Linked DNA regions of Elephas maximus indicus. The protein of the gene in region 1 purifies or fractionates together with the protein of each later gene. This does not show direct contact. Links are inferred from orthologs where the notes say so. Each region holds a gene or a part of one and is shown in the gene's direction. Other genes may lie near its edges.

Region 1 (2,740 bases):
GAGTAAAAGACTGAACAGAAAGATGAAAATTAACTCTGGGTAGAGGGAAAAATGTCGCGGAGGAGAACGGGCAAAAAAAAAAAAAAACAGGCTCTGAGGGTCAACAATTGTTTAAGCGGGGGTGGTGGGGGGGTGAAGAGCGATGCCTTGCAATGACAAAAGTGTGGGATAGGTTACGGTGGGGAACCTGCGGAGAGTGGGGAGGGAGCCCTGGGGCGAAGGAGATGGTCCCAGAAGATGGGGGAACGAGAAGGCCCTAGACTGTTCCCGGACAAAAAGGGCACGAAGCTCCAAATTGTGGCGAGAAAGGGGGTGGGAGCAGTCAGGGCGGTCTTGATGAAGGGTGAGGGGACCAGCGGCGGGAGGGCTCCGAAGGGCAAAACAGAGGGTGACACCCCCAGACGAGTGGGACGGGTGGCGGTTCTGGGAAGAGACGGGGTCGGGTCCGGCCAGGCAGGCGGTCACCTTGATCGGGGCCATGGCTGCGGCTGCTCTGTTGAAACTGCGAGTCCCGCCAAGCGTCCACTCTCCTCTTCCTCCCGGTCGCCGTCCTGCTCCCACCGCTGCCGCTGCTGCAGACTCAACGACGGCCGCCCCACTGAGCACCAAACCCGCTGGACCGCCCAGAACGCGCAACCCCGCCAGCCCCATGCCCAGCCCTGCGACAGCAACCGCCAGGTCTCTCGGGCCGACCCCCGCAGGAGGCGGGGCCCGAAGCGAGCGAACCCCAGAGCCTGTGAAAGGTGGGGCTTCTGCTCCGCGGGCCTCCAGCGACCGCCCACCGGCCAGTAGGCTGCAGCGCTGGGGACCAAGCTACCGCGACTCCGCTTATTTGCATACGGGGAGGGGCCACGCCGCAATTACAAACGGGGCGGAGCACTCGGCAGTCCCGCAGCTATTTGCATAAAAGGGGAGGTCCCGCTCTATTTGGATGGAGGGCGGTCAGGCGCCTGTGTGAGAGGCAAAACCACGTTTATTTGCATTCAACGCGGCCCCCTGCACCGCAATTGTTTCACAAGTGACTTACACTCCAGGAGCCGGGGGAGGCTGGGACCCGCCAAAACCAGTGGGCGTGCGCCGCAGGAGCGGACGCTTCCGGCGGCGGCGCGTGATCCGACGGTTTCTACGGCCCACAGCTCTGGCGAGAGGCAAGAGTACTTCCAGCAAGCTCGCCGCTTCCGGTCCTCCCGGCCGTCCAATGGGATAGAGTGGCGCAGCCCCGGATGTGACGCACGGGGTGCGGGCCTTTTTCCGGCTCCGGTCTATGCCCGAGCGCGTAGTGGCGACATGAAGCTGCTCACCCACAACTTGCTGAGCTCGCATGTGCGGGGGGTGGGGCCCCGCGGCTATCCCCTGCGGCTCCAGGTACCTGCCCGGGGTCCTCTTGCGCCTCGCCCAGGTGGGATGGGGAAGCAGGGGTCCCGTCCTGCCTAACTCACCGATCCGCCCTGCAGGCCACCGAGGTCCGCATCAACCCCGTGGAGTTCAACCCCGACTTCGTGGCGCGGATGATACCCAAGGTGGAGTGGGCGGCTCTTCTGGAGGCGGCAGATACCGTGAGAACCCGCCCGTGGACACCCCGGGGGTGGTCACCCCGCTCCCCCGGGACCTGGCTCTGGCCCGAGGGGGAAGGTCAGGGATGCCCAGACATGATTTAGGCCTCTTGCCCGCAGTTGCATCTGGTCGAGGTCCCCAAAGCGCCGACTGAGGGATACGAGCGCGATGAAAAATTTCTGAGGAAGATGCACCACGTGCTGCTGGAGGTGAGACTGGCGCACCACCTTCTCCCCCCGTTACCCCGCCCCAGGCCGCCAGTGTCAGCTGTCACCCCTCCCCGCAGGTGGACGTGTTGGAGGGCACCCTCCAATGCCCAGAGTCCGGACGTCTCTTCCCCATCAGCCGCGGGATCCCCAACATGCTGCTGAACGATGAGGAAACCGAGACTTAAATTTCCCAGACACCCCTTTTTCGTTCGGGAACCGTGTGTATCTTTGCTTTTTTGTATATTGTTTGCTGGCTTTGTCGTGTGCATCTTCAACCGTCCGCCCAGTGACACACCGAACAGAGTGTTCTTGAGCTCGATAGGATATATTTTTTTTTATCATTAAAGTTTCAAAACCAAAAGCGGTTTCTCTTTGCAGCAAATATACATTAAAATAGAGTCTCTGTACAGCCAAAGGCTCTGGGCCTTGGCTTGCCCCATGTCCCTGCGCCTCCCTGGCCAAACCAAAAAATAAATATAGTGTTATTGCTCTGCAGGGCATAGAGGCAGTGCTCTCCCTACCCCCTGAGGAGGCCGGGTAGGAGCTAATGGGGGCTCTGGCCACCCCAGGGGGTCCAGGGGTTGGAGCCTGCTTGGAGTTATTGCTTCAAGGGGCGGGGCAGTAATGCCCAATGCAAATGATGAGGAGAGGAGCGAAGGGGGCAAGGCCTTTGCTTTCCAAGTCCCCCTCTGCTCTGGAGGGGGGGGTCGGATTAAGCAGCAGCAAAAGCATCACCCACTGGGAGACTGTAGTCTCCACCCCCTTCCCTCCCTGAGATCAGGCTTCTGCCCCCCACACCACCCCTGGAGCCCCGTATGGCTTCCGCAAGGCCCCCTACACTCTGGGGGCACATTATGGCTTGCAAGGGGCAGCACTGCCCACAGGATGGGCACACACATTCCCAGCTTCTGACACCCCCCTGGGGAGGGGAGGATGTGGGGCCTGCTCCCAGGGGCTGATGGCATTGCCCTGGCCCT
Region 2 (3,755 bases), about 120 Mb from region 1:
TAATAGATGCATTTTATCCTCCTAACAAAGGTATGAGATAGACACTATTATTATACCAGTTTTACAGATGAAGAAACTGAAGCACAGAGATGAGAACTAACTCAACAGGTTCATACAACTAATAAGTGGTAGACCTGAGATTTGACTCCGAACTGCTGTGTTATATTGCCTCATAGCACCAACGAGATTCTGGGGAAACTAATAAAAGTATGATTTAATCCCTGTCATCAAAGTGCTGGTAGAGTATTGCAAGGCAACAGACATTAGAATAAATAATTACAATTAGTGCTATGTTAGAAATATCCATTCAGCTATCCCCTTCCTGTCTAGTGATCACTTCAAAACCTGTCTGTAATCTCAGTCTCTCTCCTGAGAGCCACTTCGTATTGTCATCTACTAGCCAGACATTGCAACTGTAGATCTCACTAGTAGTTCATCTATGATATATCCTAAATCTGACTCATTACCTCCCTTACAGAGCAGCTCATCCTGACTTTCCAGTTTTGAAATGACATCACTAGTCTCTTAGTCACTCAGGCTCCAACCTAGAAGTCATCTTTGATTTCCCTCTCCTCACTTCTGGGTGGTCATCAAGGCCGATTGATTCTACATGACTCCCGCCTTTGCTTTCTTCCTGCTGCCTCCACCCTAGATCAGGCCAGCATTTCCACTTGTCAAGCTGGATTACTGCAGGTTCCCATGCCTCTCATCTCCCTTCTGTGCTCTCCAGCCAGCTTACTTTCCCAGCCTTAGCGCCTGTCATGCACTCTGTGTGCTAGTTAGGCTGGTCTGGCTGTCTTTTCCATAGGCCTGGCATTTTCCTTCTCTTGAGATTTGTAATTAGAGTTTTGCCTGTCTTGTTTGTGAGGTGTTTTGGAATATGATTTAACTCTCTACATTCAGTTTGTAACTTTGAAGACTTTAAAAAGTGTGCAGAGAGTGGGACCATTGGGTTAGCAAACACTGTGCTCTGAAAACTATGCTTACCTCCTCTGTCTTTGCCAGACTTGTCCATTTTTCTTTGTAGCTTCTGTTCTTTATAGCTTTACTGCATATTTTCTTTCCATATGACTCCATATTCTTCTTATTCTTCAGTATTCAGCCAAATTCTCTTCTGTTTTGAAGTCTTCCCAAGTTTTTCCAGTTTTTTTTTTTTTTTTTTGTCTCTAATTCACGTCACACCTAAATACTGTGCTATTAGCACTTAATTGTATAAACCAGTTGCCGTTGAGTCGATTCTGACTTGTGGCAACCCTATGTGTGTCAGCTAGAACTGTTCTCCATAAGGTTTTCAGTGGCTGATTTTTTGGAAATCAATAGCCAGACCTTTTTTCCCAGGTGTCTGTAGGTGCACTCCAACCTTACAGTTAGTAGCTCAGTGTGTTAACTGTATTACCAAGATGTGTCATACTCTTTCATTGTTTAGTGTTTTTCTGTTTTCCTGAACTATATGTGTATTTCTAAACACATATAGACTTATTTTTAGATTTCAGACTTTATGTAAATGGAATCATACTGTGTGTGTGTATACATACAATATGAGATATATATATACCCGCGCACACACGTACACATATGTACACATATCTATTAGATTTGGTCCTAACAGTGTATTTGTGAAATTTGTGGCACATTGTCATGGATTGAATTGTGACCCCCCCCCCAATTTGTGTCCACTTAGCTAGGGAATGATTCCCAGTATTGTGAGGTTATCTTCTGTTTTGTGATCTGATGTAATTATTCTATGAGTATAGAGACCTGGTGGCACAGAGATAAAGAGCTCAGCTGCTAACTGAAAGGTTCTGGCAGTTTGAATTCACCAGCTCCTCCTTGGAAACCCTATGGGACAGTTCTACTCTATCCTGTAGGGTCTCTATGAGTCAGAATCAACTTGAAGGCAAAGAGTTTTTTTGTAAATCCTAACGTCTTTGGTATTAATGAGGCAGGATTAGCAGCAGCTATGTTAATTTTTTTTATGTTAATTAGGCAGGACACATTCTATAGGATTAGGTTGTATTTTGAGTCAATCTCTTTTGAGATATAAAAGAAAGAAGCAAGCAGAGAAGAGAGGGACCATCTACTACAAGAAAGAAGAGCTGGGAGCGGAGCATGTCCTAGGACCTGGGGTCCCTGCACTGAGGAACTCCTAGACCAGGGGAAGATTGATGATAAGGACCTTACCCAGAACTGAGAGAGAGAGAAGGCCTTCCTATGGAGCTGGAACCCTGAATTCGGACTTATCACGTTCTAAACTGTGAGAGACTAGATTTCTGTTGTGGTATTTTTGTTTTACCAGCACTAGGAAACCCTCGTGGCATAGTGGTTAAGTGCTATAGCTGCTAACCAAGAGATCGGCAGTTCAAATCCTCCAAGTGCTCCTTGGAAACTCTATGGGGCAGTTCTACTCTGTCCTATAGGGTCGCTATGAGTTGGAATTGACTCGACGGCAGTGGGTTTGGTTTTGGTTTTTGGTTTTAGATAACTAAGACATACGTTTTACCAAGGATTTCATAAGTAAAGAGATACATCACCTCAGGGTAAAGTAGCTCACTTAATGGACCTAAAGTATTAGAATGTTTTTTAGAACCCCTGGAGATGCTATTGGATGTTCTTACCACTTTGTTACTTTCTTAGACGTTACTTTATTGTCTGTGGATCTGTTTATTCTCATTTCTTGGTAAAAGAAAAACCAAGAATTTTTAAAAATTGTCACAGAAATATTTCTAAACTGTAGAATGTATGAACAGCATCATTATAATTGATATTGACACTTTTTAGTCTTTTTTTTTTCAGTATTGCTATGGACGGCAACCATCAAAGTGATCACAAACGCAGTAAAACTGAGAAGAAGTTCTTAAGGAAACAGATTAAAGCCAGGCACACTTTGCTGAGACACGAAGGCATTGAGACAGTGTCCTATGCCACTCAGGTGACCTAAAACTACTATGATCGTTTGAATGTAAATGTATTGCCATAGTAACCTATTGTATTAATATATGCTAATAATTTCTCAGAGAAAAAGCCTGTAATTATTTAGTCATGTGTTATATCCGTATTAAATACACACATGATCAAAAAAAACCATTGCTGTGGAGTGGATTCCGACTCATAGCAACCCTGTAGGACAGAGTAGAACTGCCCCAAGGGTTAGTTTCCAAGGAGCAGCTGGTGGATTCAAACTGCCGACCTCTTGGTTAGCAGCTGTAGCACTTAACTACTGTACCACCAGAGCTCCATACATATGATAGGACCTGCTAACTTTCTACTTTTGCTCTAGTTTGTAGCCTAGTCTATGGATTCAATTCCCATTAATTGTGTTAATTGAACTGAAGAAAGTTGTGGGTATATATTAACAATGGTAACACTGTACATCTCTTTTCATTTTCCAAAGTATAATTATGTTTATTATAATATTTAATTCCCTAAACATCCCTATGAGATAGGCGAGAACACTAAGGTTCTGAGTACTTGTGATGTGTTTATTAATATAAAGTGGGAAGTAGGTAAATAGACACTTAAAGCTACGTCTTTTGTGTCCTAATGCGGTCTTCTTTTTTCCGTACTCAGCTTCATCTGTAGCATAAAAAAGTGCTTTGATCATATGCTACAAAACATTTTTCACTTGTTAGATTTTATTTACAAAGCCTTTTCATTATCTGAAGGCAGCAAGTAAATGAGATAATGTATATGAGGGACATGAGACTTCGTAAGGAGCCCTGGTAGGGCAGTGCTTAAATGCTCAGCTGCTAACTAAA

Evidence for each region. Proteins that work in one complex are often made in the same cells at the same time.
Region 2: the proteins of TRMT112 (region 1) and ALKBH8 purify together in Homo sapiens (co-immunoprecipitation; 3 studies listed by IntAct, with this or other methods). This does not show direct contact. The link is inferred for Elephas maximus indicus from reciprocal best matches to the Homo sapiens genes TRMT112 and ALKBH8.

Annotation. Positions count from the first base shown.
Region 1 is NC_064825.1:127,493,987-127,496,726, reverse strand, and holds TRMT112 (multifunctional methyltransferase subunit TRM112-like protein), read left to right. Parts: upstream 1-1,188; 5' UTR 1,189-1,287; coding exon 1,288-1,365; intron 1,366-1,454; coding exon 1,455-1,556; intron 1,557-1,658; coding exon 1,659-1,763; intron 1,764-1,840; coding exon 1,841-1,948; 3' UTR 1,949-2,102; downstream 2,103-2,740. Other genes in the region: PRDX5 (peroxiredoxin-5, mitochondrial), read right to left, coding at 466-651. UniProt on the Homo sapiens protein: Acts as an activator of both rRNA/tRNA and protein methyltransferases. Together with methyltransferase BUD23, methylates the N(7) position of a guanine in 18S rRNA.
Region 2 is NC_064825.1:12,297,550-12,301,304, forward strand, and holds the start of ALKBH8 (alkylated DNA repair protein alkB homolog 8), read left to right. Parts: upstream 1-1,525; 5' UTR 1,526-2,165; coding exon 2,166-2,254; intron 2,255-2,778; coding exon of another isoform or gene 2,779-2,793; coding exon 2,794-2,929; intron 2,930-3,755.